2 linked regions of the Kluyveromyces lactis genome follow. The protein of the gene in region 2 interacts with the protein of the main gene of each other region in a biochemical or structural test. Links are inferred from orthologs where the notes say so. Each region holds a gene or a part of one and is shown on either strand. Other genes may lie near its edges.

Region 1 (6,910 bases), on a different chromosome or scaffold from region 2:
CTAAATGGGGACATGTTTATAAATTACTGGAAGATATCGACTCCAGTGAGATGGAATTTCAATCTGCAGTTGAAAGTCTAAATGTTAATGATAAACGTCTAACTGGTGTTCCTGTAATAACGTATTGTATTGCGTATGACAGACTACCGTTCTTAGAGACGTTACTAAGTAACAGGGAAAGTTATAAGAAGGGATTGGATTTAAACCTTACTGATGATTTAAACCATTGGACGCCCATCATGTGGTGTTGTTATTTGAATCGATATGCGTGTTTAACGGAATTGATGAGATTTTCTGATAAGTTAGACATGTTCTATACAACCAGCACTGGACAATCGGTGCAATCATTATTGGTACCGGGAACCGCTATTTATTCATTCATGGATATACATCAGGTGTTCAATGGTAAACCAAAAGATTTGCCTGATTTGTATAAAGCACCACCAGAAATGAATACTGCAATTGATCCGACCATTGATGAGTTGAATTTACGGACTGTGGATATGAGATTGCATGATGACATAGATGATAATACTGCATATTTCGAACCTGAAAGTCGTTCGGCTATACTTGATGTTAAACCTGATATTCCTCCAGATTCCGAGTTTAATTACAAGCATCTTGAACCTAGGCAATACATCTCTTTTACTAGTTTGGATATCGAAAGTTTATCTTCATTGGTTGCAAAACTTCCAAACAAATACCCTCATAAACCCAACATTGCGGCCGCAGTTACTTTCCAATGCATCAGATACGCTCATCACAAAAGGCATAATAGAACCATGATTGAATCTATCCATAACTCATGTCTTCAAAAGTTATTAGCGGCAGATCCGAACCAGGACATCCTAAAGCAATCTTATACGTTGGGATATCTCAACCTATTGTATTATTACATGTATCGTGACGAAATGGTCTTCCCTGCATACCCCCATTTATTACAGGATATTATAGACTCCATTCTACTGTTAATAAAAAATCTATCGGCATCCATCAATTCAAGACTAGAACCATTATTACATCCTGGAATCCTTGAATATACAACGATCTCTGATGTTAAGGAAACGTTGTACAAAAATGACTGGAACTTTTTCAAGAAGCGGAAGCTCAAGCGTATGAAACATGATTCATATGACGACATTCTTCAGCTTTTGTATCCTCCCTCAGTAAAGGAACAAATGAAACCTTCTCCTCTTAAAATCGTTCAGATTTTTGGTGCCTTGACATATGTTTTCGACTTGCATGACATTCATCCAGTTCTTTTGCAACAGTGCTTGTCTATATCATCTAAGTGGTTGGCTAATACAATTTTCAACGAGATTATACAATCTAAGCAACTCTCTTCAAGAGCACACGCGATGCAAATAAGATTGAATCTCTCGATCTTACAAGATTGGGTGAAAAACCATAACTTTTCTGTCCAGAAGCCCGATCTAATGGATGACTTCATGTGGCAAAGGTTCCCACTGACTATAGTTCAAGATGTTGGATCCATTGATCTGAAGAAGCCTTCTCAACCTCTTGAAAACGTTTATTTCTATAAACCGATCAAAAAGGAACCTTGTACGGACGAATCAAACTCATTATTCTTTTACCAATCTTTTGCACATATCTGGCAATTTCATTTGGAACCAGTTTATCAACTATTACAATGGTTACAAGTTGCCACTTCCTTGGATCCGAATGAAGATGTTCTGAATGGTACTATTGATAGGTTAAGCCGATTAAACGTTACACAGTTGTATAAATCGTTGGATCGTTACAGATATGAACTCAATGAAGGAAAAACCAGCATGAAGAAACTTTTGAAGCAAAAGGTGAAAGCTATCAAAGATCAACAACCCGTTTTACTTGACATCGAATTTTCTGTTAAGCTAACTCTACCTACCCTTCAAGAGCTATACTTTTTATATGATGAATGCGAGTCCAGTTATAGATTTTTGCCGATTTTACCAATTGCGATACAAGATGAAATAGACGAAATTCATGACCAGATCAAAATTGATAATCAGTTTGAGGTGTCATCTAATGCCTTTGAAGACATGGACGAACCAAAACCCGCTGCACATGCAGTTTGGACCTCTAATGAAATGAAACTTACAGAAAATCCTTGGTGAACATTAAGTAAATAATTTATTGATATGCGGATTTAAACTAAATGGTTAAAGTTTGCTTCGATTTTTATAAATGCCTTGTTTATAGAGGAATCGAATATATGCATCCATTGGGATTATGCAATTTGGAAATATTAGTCCTAACTCTGACATGATATTCTTCTGTTAGTGATTTTTTCCGTTGTTCTTGATCTTTAGTTAGATTAGATGAATCATGTCTATTTTGTATCTCATGCAGGTCTTTTACACTATCCCATTCATTTGTTCTACCTGACATGAAATTGGTATGATTGATTGAGTCTTCAAAATACTTGTCTTCTATTTCTGAGGAGTCATTCTGAGGACCGAATCGTGCGAAGGCTTTAGTCAGGTTCTGAGTATCTATATCAGCATTTTCTTTCGATCCAGTTCTGGGTACTCTTTCTCCTTCGGATTTTGGTATTTCCGAACTTGACACAAGGTATACAAATGATGATACAGACCATTCGTACCAAACTCTGCTATTTAAGTCATTTCTAGTAATGAATACTTCAAGTTCAGTGTCATCATTTAAGAACAAGGGTTCCTTCAAGGGGAAAAACATTGGTGACCATGATTTCATATTTTCCGTATGATTCACTTTAGTGGCAGTTGATCCGTTATGGCTTCTGGAGTTATCTATGTTAGAATTTTCCTGATCTTCTAAAGTTTTAATGACAGAGTCATTTGGAACTATGCTCAAGGTTATATCTCCGTATAATGTTGCAATAAAGTATCCAGCAATACCATGAATTTCACTTTTATGCTTTACTCGAAAGTGGGATATTGAACTTTTGTTAAATTGATGCTGTTGTTGATGCAAATGTGAGAATGACCATATTTCATTTACTCTGGATGATGTACGGCAATATGGAACATTGTGAATTATTGAAGGTTTTTCGAGATATTCTGGTCCTTTTTCAATGAGGCTTTGGTATAAAATTGGAGATGATATAGGAGACGCATAGGAACTATATCCTTGAGGAATAAACCTTGTGTTAGGTTTTGAATGGAAAGCTTCTATTGGAGCAATACATTCGGGAGATAACTCGTTACAGCCGAAAGACCCCAAAAGTTCACTGATGCAGAGATCGACTTTAATATTTTCATCCCATTCTCGGATGTCAGTACGGATAACTTCAACTTTGTTGTCCCAGTGTTCAAAGTTGCGTTTCTGTAAATAGAGAAGTGCTTGTGGGTTTTTTTCGATAGCCAATAGCCTGAAGTTGGTTACTCCAAGTTTATGTAACACTTGGAATGTCTTATCCACCAATGGACCCCTGCCTGCACCTGCAACTAATGTGATAAGTTCTGTAGGGCCTCTCCAACTGGACGAATTTTCTGTCAAAATTTCAGATACAGCGACCATGATAGCCCTCTCGTATAATTCGTACTTGACAGTATCCTTTTCGAAAACTTGGTAAACTGCATTCGAAAGATTATCATGATGGGGTAGTAGCGGAGGCATGATTGTAGGTGCACTGTGGACAACATCTTGGGTCTCCATTAGTATGAGCTTATCTCCCTTTTTCAATAAATAATTGAGGTATTCTAGGTACTGTGTAGGTTCAATTTTGAGTTTATCCGTGTATTTCTCCATACCATGTAAAACGATAGCTAGTTCGCCAAATGTTGATGCGTTACCGTTAACACGTTGGAACTCAGTGATTAAATGCTGATTAAATTTATTCAATACAGGGTAATTGTATTGATTTGTTGTGAATATGGATGCAGAGATCAAAAGACATGTGACAGGTTCGCTCAGCCATCTGTTTAGCACAAAACTGGGAGTCTTCTGTCTAGGTAGAGCTAGAGATACAGTCAATTTAGGCTCGTATCCGCACATTTTCCTGATCGTGTTCCACAGTTCCCAAGTCGAAAGTGGATCTGAATCTTCAAACAAAGGTAACGAAATAGATATTGTCGGACACGCTTCTTTAAAAGTATCAAATACTGTACACAAAGATTGTGCGTAGTAATGAAGCGTGTGTAACTTTTTAGGAGGAGCTAAGATAACCTGTCTGATTCCAACGAAATTTGCATAATGCAATTCGTGCTCCAACACTTGCAAAGATAAAGTCCGGACATCAGCATCATGGCTCTCGAGCTCTAAAAAGTAAGAGACCAATCCAATATATGAAACATTTCCATTAGATGGCAATACCCCCAGCTCTTGCAATTGAGGAGGATCTAACTTTAGTTCTTCATTCCATCCATGACCGTGATCTCGAAAATCTTCAAACTTGGCCTTCATGGCATCCTTGTATCTGGTATTTGTCAAGGGCAGCAGCACATAGTCATAATTCTCTACTCTTTTATCTGTAGAAGAAGTTCCAAGAACATCAGCGGAATGTTCACTGTGAGGTTTGATCCCGACGAAAACATTACTTCGACTTGCCATTTCAGCACATACAAACACACAAACGCAGCACGCAGAACAGTTTCACAACAACAGTCAAACGTTTATTGGTAAACCCTTCTTCAGCTATACCGTAATTATGGTAGACACTACACCAGTGATAGCTCTGTGTCCTATTCTTTTACCTCATCTCTGACCATCAATAGTGACGGATCTGGTTTCTGTCCTAAACAATATTTATTTTCATTTTTTTTTTGTAAACAATACTATTTTAATACCTAAGATCTTTTCAGTTATGCTAAAGACATGATATGTGATGAGCGAATAAGATCCAGCATCAGTAGTCTAGGGTTAATTAACACTCCAATTGTATAGCTTAAGTTGTGATCGAATCTAACAATGTATTCGACGCACGCTTTCCAAGGCAGAAAGCTTTCTGATCAGGAAAGAACGAGAGTTCTCGAATTTCAAGATAGCATTCATTATTCACCAAGATACTCCGACGATACACACGAATACAGACATGTAATGCTTCCCAAGGCCATGCTAAAAGTGATACCTTCTGATTATTTCAACGGAGACACTGGTACTTTGCGAATCTTAACAGAAGACGAATGGAGAGGGTTAGGAATTACACAATCTCTGGGATGGGAACATTACGAATGCCATGCGCCTGAACCACATATTTTACTATTTAAGAGACCACTGAATTACGAGGCTGAAATACGTGCGGCGCATGCTGCCGCACAGCAGCAGCAAAAATCAATTGCTGCAGGCCAACAAAGTCAAAATATATGAACTACCCACTAAAGACTTTAAAATGAAATAATAAGAAAATCGTATTCCAGTTTTACGCGTTACACTGTTAATAAGAGAGAATAATGTTTCCCCAAAGATCTGCAATTCCTGGCTGCACACTTTGTGTAAGTTAGTCTTCTGTTGTCAAACTTGCAAATGGCTTAAGACGCCTGAATTGTACTTCTGGAGAAGTGTTTAGCATATGTACATACCACATTTATGTATGTGTTGAGATTCCTTATTGATACCAAAATTTGTATATAAGTCAAATTATAAATAATGAAACTAACCAAAAACAAACGCTGGACTATGAAAGAAACACAGTTTTCTCTCGTTAGGGCGTCCTAGGTGAGTGTGATTGAGAGTGCAGTTGCCGTGTAAGAGTAATATCTTCTCAGCGTATAGGAAATGGATAATCCTAGGGTAAAATATCTGGAAGAACTGATACTGGCGTTAAAATCAGCAGGAACTGTAGGAAATGGTATAGAGTTAGATAGCACTTTGCAATTAGATGAAAAGAATGGGAAATTACTACAGACATTGTTGAAGAATACGCAATCTACGAATACGGATGAGGTGATCTTTCACAAATCCTTTCAAGCACTTGATTTATTTCTGCGATGCAACCAACACCTTTTCTCAGCCAATGTTAAAGAGATTACTATGATCGAGGTTATTTTAAACAATATGGTTAGTTGTTCGCTAATGCATTGGTCCAATATGCAATATATTTGGCTTATAAACAAATACGTGAGTGCATGGTTAAAAGCGTACTCTTTTGCATCGACCTCCAATTTACAGATTTGGTTCACTGAACAAATGGTTCAGTATGAAAAGTTACTAGTAACATGTCTGAGAGGTAAGCTAGAGAAGCCGACGTTTCATTCCCTCTTGAAAAAAATAGTGATAGTGAACGGTTGGATTATGAGGGATGGACTACTTCGAAATTACAGCTATAGAAGATGGCAAAGTCAGTTTCAGAAATTGATGCGATTGCTAGCCTTTGTTTTGAAATCAACTAACGAACCAAGTGTCGAAGTTGCGAGCATCTTGCAATTACTTGTTCGTTACATCTCTTTATCTAAAGAGTCATTGTCAATATTCAGATTCTCGTTTGACCTCATACAAACTTTAATTAAAGATCATCATCAGCATATCTCTCCGACCATTTTAGCCAAGACTTTGTTACGGACTTTGTACCTTTGTATCCATGACGAATCAAAGTTGGCAGAGATCAAGAATACATTCGAATTACATGAATGGATCAACACGAATAAGAATGCTGATCCCCTGTTTATTAGATCGATAAAATACGTTTCAGTGAAACTAGGGTTCCTGGAATCGATGGAAGAGTTTACATTCTCTAATAAGCAATTGCATTGGCTTCATCAAGCCATAGAAAATCCGAAGCTACGTCTAGTCTCTGGGAATGTTCGAAATTGTATAGCTGATAGTGCTGATATAAGATCTTTCTACGATAAGGTGAAAGAATCATTACTAAACACGATAAAGGATGGTGACACCGCAAAATTGACACATTCGATGCATTCCATCAGACAATTGGCTATAAAAGAAAAGTTTGTCAATAACAATCTTGTAAGATCTCCACAGGTGGAATTCA
Region 2 (7,115 bases):
CTTTATTGAACCGTTCAAATGATGCCATAGTATCCTTATCGTTAACGAACCTCTTACTGCGAGTCTCCAGACTTAGCACTGTCTCCGTACCATTCATGCATCTCATCTCAACGGTAAATTTACTCTTGGGTCGATTTCTCTTAATACCACCGAAATTGCAATCGTACGTCACGTACTCTTTATCTCCCTTACGTTCCATCTTTTTTAACTCACAATCTACACCATTCTTACCGAATTGCGTCATGAGTAAGATGTGAATGTTATCAAACGGTATACTTGAGGTCCGGTATTCATATACTGTCCGCTTTGGTTTCGAGGTTTTAATCCGTTGTAATAGTTTACTGAACCAATTAACGGGGGAGGAAGACTTCATACTGGTAATTGGTTTCACTTCATCCTCTTTGATCTTTGGTAATTTGTTTATGTAGTTGGATTTCCTTTTGCTGCCAACGTTATTTGTCGTCGTACTGTTGGCATTTAGCGTCGGTTGTCTTCTTTCTGCGGCAACGGGTTTGAAGACCTGTTCGGATTCAGAACTTCCGTCATCAAATAGTAAAGTCACCCTTCTAGTCTGACCTTGACCATGGTTTCCATCATCGTTCTTTTGTTCTTCTGTTGATAGGTCCAGGTTATCGCCATTGATAGAAGATACAAGAACAGTGGAATTTCTTTTAACGGTAGTGCCGTTTGTGTCTTCATTGGTTTCATTTTCGACTGGACGTGTATCTAATGCACTTCCTAGGAGTCCCAGTCCATTATCGTCATATTCAGCACGGCTTTCATCACCGTCGAGATCTTTGAACATCGAGATCATAGAACCGGTGATGGTTAAATCTCTGTCACCATTCGAAAATCGCTTTTGTTTGATATCTTTGATGGGACTCAATTTGAACTTAGATATAATTTGTTCTGTCGTTTCCCTTGGTAAATTATCCAGCTTATCCATTTGATTGATGTATAAACTGACTCTTACATCCGTTGCTGGTGTCAGGACATGACTTGTATCGATTGAATCGATAGAAGCAGCTTTTTTCTTCAAGTTAAGCTGTGACTGATCGATCATTGACTCAGAAGTAGTAACAGATTCATTAGCATCGTCTGGAGCGTCTTCGAAAATATCGATGTCACCGGCTGTTGTGACCGCTGGTGCAGTATTGACGTTATAATCGTCATAATTGGAACTGGTCTCAAACCGGTTCGAATCATTTTCAATCATCAAAGTTTGATTTTCCGAGAGTTTTTCATGATCAGTATTAACAGGATTAGATGCCTGAGTAACTGGTACTTTATCCTCATCGATATTCATGATAAACTGAGAGAGATCTTTGAATGTCATTGACGAATTGATCAACGACGATGGCATGCGTAAGAGATCAGGCTTAATGTCAGTCATAGGTGTACTGGTAGTTAACACGGTTTCCGGTGCTGTCAACTTACTTGGATTAGTCTTCTGCCTTTGCAATTGATTTTCACCTTCCGAAGAACCTTTCCCACCAAACAAAGCCTGCGCCTCTCCGCTTACAGTCCAATCCCCACTATCTCTTAGCTTTCTAATGGTAGATCTTGACTTGATTCTCTGTGGAACACTGACCTTCCTTAGAAGGTTCTCAAGTGATGGCTTAGGTTTGTTACGTTTGGGGTCCAAAGATGAGACATACATGGACTTGGATTGGAATGTATTGGTCATATCCTTCAACGGAGTCATAGAAACAGGAACAGTCGCTATTGTGTTATCAGCCGTCTTCCGTTTCATTGATGTCACACTTTGTCTATTTTCTGTCTGTGGCTGATTGTTCAGTTTTGGTTGTGCCAGTATATTCTTCGATGGCTGCGTAAGTTTTTCATTCTGTTGAGCTTTCATGTGCTGACCAGATTCACCGAGGAAATTATCCATCGTTGCACCATGCACAGACGTACTTCTATCATAATCGTCCACAATAGATTCAAGTTTGGATGAAGTGTGCTCCGAGGATGAAATAGAAGGTAAAGGCGGAGGTGGATATTCATGTTGCAACTCGTCATGAAGCAATTCGTTCAAGTTTATTGAACGTTTAGAAATAGATTGCAAAGAGTACAACGATCTCTTTGAAGCTGAGTTTTGTAACGTTCTTTTCTTTGGAGTGGTAGGAGTCAATGACTTCTTAGAGCTGGATTTTGATATCGATTGTGAGGAAGATTTTGCGCCAAAGTTTGGTTGGAAAAGTTTTGAGGAGGAGGAAGAAGCAATGAATCCCTGTTTTGTCTTCTTTGGAGATTTTGAACTTCCATTTTTCAAGGAACTTATCGAGAAATGTGATTTCTGGTGGATCTTTGGAGCCTGTAGGGTACTAGATTCAGAACTATCAGATGATATTTGTTGTCCAAAGGCCGATATTGTTGGAGCCATCGATGCTGGCAGTACAGTTCCGTTACTTGATTGTTGTTGTTTTTTCGCTGTATTTGTTACACTATTCACATCAGATGAAATATTCAATGGACTGACCGAGGAAGCGGACGATGTTTTCAACGTAGGAACAGGTATTAAATCCTTTTGCATCGATTTCTGTTGTTTCTCCTGATAATTCCATAGTAAAGAATAAAACATTTTCTCTTCAGTGAATCCTGGTTTCATAAGTCTTGTCACCAAATGTTTCCTTGCAGCACCGTGCCATAGGATCTGTAGGTTGGATAAGATTGTCTCATCGATGTCCCTTTCCGACGAAAAGCTCACAATATTTGGAGTACGATTCAACAGATTCAAATCCGAATTAGACTTACTGCGAGATTTCTGATCATATTTCGTCAGCAACTCATGCTGTAAGATTTGGTCAATAGTAATTCTTCTATTTGGATCTACCACCAGGATTCTAGAAATTAAATCTTTAGCCTCTACCGATAACCATTGGGGCATCTGATATTTTCCTGACTGTACTTTCAACAACAATTTCTTGACGTTATCGTCGTTAAAGGGTAAATGTCCAGTCAACAGGGCGAACAAGATGATACCACAGGACCAAACATCACTTGGGGATCCATGATATTTCCGACCCAGAACGATTTCAGGAGAAGCATAATGTGGTGAGCCACACGAGGTCTCCAGCAGTTTATCCGAAGTCTCTAGGGCAGCCATCCCAAAGTCTGCAATCTTGATAGATCTCTTTTTCTTATCCAAAAGCAAATTCTCTGGTTTCAAATCACGATGACAAATATTGAACCCATGGCAGTATGCTACAGCTTGTACTATCTGTTTGAAATAATGGATAGCCTCACTTTCCGGCAACTTCCCCTTCGAGACCAAATAGTCGAACAATTCACCACCTTCAACATATTCCAATACCAAATATAACTCAGATTTGTTTTCCCATACCTCGTAGAGACCCATCACATTGGGGTGCGAGATAAGCTTCATAATGATAATCTCACGTTCGATCCCATATGGCAGCTGTTTGATCTGGTTCGACTTAACGAATTTTTTGGGAACTATCTTAATCGCTGACAGTTTCCCCGTTTCCATATTCTTTGCTAGACGAACTCGACCCGATGACCCTTTCCCCAAAGTCTTACCCAATTTCCAGGGACCTACCGTATCGCGGTTTCTCCTCTTCGAAGTCTTGGTATTATTAACATTAGCATTCGACGATGCAGTCGAAATCTGTGAAAGACGCTTAGTAGCGTCTGTTACTGACTGAACAACCCTATTCAAATGTTCATTATTTGCACGATATGGGACCTGGCCGTGACTAGAATTATCCTTCATTGCCACAACGGCAGCTTGAACAGCACACGACATCTAGCACAAACAAAGCAAGCGAGTGAAATTGAGAAAGCAAAAGAGCAGAAGAGAGCGTGTGTGAGTGTTTAAGTATGATAAGCGAATGTAATGATTGGAAAATAAACACACTCTGTGATCAAATCAATGATTCTTCTTCTTCTTATTATTATTAGTATTCTTCTTCTTCCTTATAATTCAAATGGTAGACCTAGCCTTGTAATTTGCAGTTCCAGCAGAGCGACAAATCAGCGTTACTGATGATGTTAACGTTGCTTGGTGTCTTCTCTCTTGGATGTTGTTTGGTTTCAAATTCTGATTCAAACATTGTTATGTGTGCATATATTTCATGAAAGGGCTTTATTTGGTAAATAGTTGAAGTCATTCTGCACGACTAGTAAATACTAGCAAGACGCGAGTTTGAGCTTTGTTCGCGAAGACGAAGACGCGAAAACGCGAAAATTGGCAGAAGCAGTAAAGTCGAGAACATGGCAAGTTCAACTTGCTGTGATAGATTTGAACCAGGGCTTTCGGCGCTGGTTCAATAATTGTGTTGGTTGCTGCCAGTGTGCTGGCACGGGCACGGGCATCAGCACTTTTGGTTTATCTGAATGAAATATAGGCACAACCACGTGACCTTTGAATTTACACGGCCGAAAACAACTAGATATTGTCACGTGACCTTTATCAATTCTGTTGCCTATACGAACTATGACTTAAACTTATCCATGATATCTTATAGCAACCATCTCGCACCACTCTCCCCTGAGAATAGTAACTAATTGATCTTCAACAACGCTTAATAACGTTACTATCCCTCGATATTCACACTCCGCTCCCAATTCAAGTCATATTTCGCTCGCTGTACAGGACTCTGAATTACTTTTAACGTCTATCGATCACAGTTTCTTCTTCTCCCCTATATTAAAGATAAAGACACTGATAACATAACAGCGCTCAAAGAGACAAACACCATCCGAAAAGTGCAACCCAATGACAGAACACATCGAAATAAGCAAAGAAACTATCAACGCTCTAAGCGACGTCTTGAAACAACTAGCCGTCATTGAACCTAGGTCAAGAGACGTTAACAACCAAAATGACAAGGTTACCAAGAAGTCGACTAGTAAGCAAAGCCAATTCTCGAACAAAGCGACGTTCAGAGAGTACTCGCAAGAGTACATAGATTTCACATATGAAAACCCTACCATTTACCACGTCGTCAAGTATTTTGCCAAGAAATTGGAAGAGAATGGCTTCGGTTATCTCAGTGAAAAGAGTTCTTGGTCCAACGTTGAACCGGGCCATTACTATACGACCAGAAATGGTACAAACCTCTGTGCCTTTGCGGTGGGACCCGAATGGAAACCTGAGTTAGGTGTTGGTATCATTGGTGCCCATATTGACGCCTTAACTGCGAAGTTGAAACCTTCTTCTAAGAAACCTGATGTGGAAGGATTCGAATTGTTAGGTGTAGCTCCATACGGTGGTACTTTAAATGAACTGTGGTTAGACAGAGACCTTGGGATCGGTGGTCGTGTCCTAATTAAGGACCCTGATACTGGTAAGATCAGTTCGCATTTGTGCAACTCGGCTCCACACCCTATCGCTAGGATTCCATCTTTGGCACCACATTTCGGTGCACCAAGTGTTGGTCCATTCGATAAGGAGGACCAAACTGTGCCCGTGATTGGCTACGTCGGTAATGGAGACTACGATGATGATGATGAGGACCACGACGTCGAGGATGAAAAGAAGAGCCCGTTGTACGGCAAACATAGTATCCATTTATTGAGATACATTGCCAAGTTACTATCCGTTAAAGTGTCTGCCATTACGCAATTTGACTTGGACTTATTCGATGTGCAAAAGGGTACTTTCGGCGGTCTTAAAGACGAATTCATCTTTGTTCCTCGTATTGACGACAGAATCTGCTCGTTCAGTGCCATCAATGGGTTGATAGAGCACAAGAAGACTGGCCATAAAAAGGATGGATTTAACGTCGCAGTGCTTTATGACGACGAAGAAGTTGGATCGTTGACAAGACAAGGTGCTAAAGGTGGATTGTTAGAATCAGTGGTCGAAAGAATCGTTGCTAGCAGGGGAAACGACGTCTCTGAGACGCGTACGGCATTCGCCAACTCTATCATCATCTCTGCAGACGTCACACACATGTTAAACCCAAACTTCAACTCAGTATATTTAGAGAACCATAAACCAAAGCCAAACGTTGGGATCACCCTTGCATTGGATTCCAACGCTCATATGGCTACAGACGTTGTTGGGACCGCATTGGTGGAAGAATTGGGTAGATTGAACGGGGACAAGATCCAATACTTCCAAATCAAGAACAATTCCAGATCTGGAGGCACCATTGGTCCTTCTTTAGCATCCCAAACAGGTGCTAGAACCATTGATATGGGTATTGCTCAATGGTCAATGCATAGCATTAGAGCTACAACTGGTAGTAAAGATATCGGCTTGGCAGTTAAATTCTTTAACGGATTCTACAACGACTGGAACCAAGTCTACCAATCCTTTGGTGATTTGTGATTAAAATCATAACTCACCTCCATTTCTATAAACCCCTACTACGGTTACTAATCTTACTGAAATATGATCGTCCTAATGAATTGGGCCCACATGTCTGAATTTGAACTATGAATCTTATACGCAAAGACATGCAATTCATACCTCATCATAGTACTACATAACAAAACTATACCAGTTACACCAGATACAGGATGGCCCTACGAATTACAACCTCCATCAGGACAACTCAAACCTCTGGTCCTTTGGTCTTCTCTGTTTCAAGCCTTTATGGATCACACTGTATTTACATTTCTAAAACTGGTAATTATAGTAACAAAAAAATTTTTGTGTTATATAAATAAAGAACACATATGGTATAAATATAAACTGGACTTATTCACTCAGGGTTTTATGCCAAGCGTTCGAAAGGAAAGAAGCTAACAAAGGATCCAGTAACTCTAAAGTGTTCCAGCGGTAGCATTAGAAAAGACGCTGAGGCAAGATAGTTTAGGAACGCGATAGAATGTGTGGTATCTTTGGTTATTGTAATTTTTTAGTTGAGAAATCTCGTGGCGAGATCATCGATACTTTAGTGGAAGGTTTGCAGAGATTAGAGTACAGAGGGTATGACTCTACTGGTATTGCTATTGATGGTGACAGAGAAGACGAAACTGTTATTTACAAGCAAATCGGTAAAGTTTCTGCTTTGAAGAAAGAGATCGAAGCTCATAAGCCAAACAGGGACGCGCATTTTGTCACTCATTGTGGTATTGCTCATACCAGATGGGCTACACACGGTGAGCCAAAACAGGTGAATTGTCATCCTCACAGATCT

What was found.
Region 1: of the proteins of HSL1 (region 2) and HSL7, one has a biochemical effect on the other in vitro, tested with the Saccharomyces cerevisiae proteins (2 studies listed by BioGRID, with this or other methods). The link is inferred for Kluyveromyces lactis from reciprocal best matches to the Saccharomyces cerevisiae genes HSL1 and HSL7.

The regions. Positions count from the first base shown.
Region 1 is NC_006039.1:1,373,531-1,380,440, reverse strand, and holds HSL7 (protein arginine N-methyltransferase), read right to left. Parts: upstream 4,534-6,910; coding exon 2,197-4,533; downstream 1-2,196. Other genes in the region: KLLA0_C15851g (uncharacterized protein), read left to right, coding at 1-2,117; cyclin-dependent protein kinase regulatory subunit CKS1, read left to right, coding at 4,891-5,289; protein kinase MEC1, read left to right, coding at 5,698-6,910.
Region 2 is NC_006042.1:1,252,941-1,260,055, forward strand, and holds the start of HSL1 (protein kinase HSL1), read right to left. Parts: upstream 3,770-7,115; coding exon 1-3,769. Other genes in the region: metalloaminopeptidase APE1, read left to right, coding at 4,742-6,301; glutamine--fructose-6-phosphate transaminase (isomerizing) GFA1, read left to right, coding at 6,804-7,115.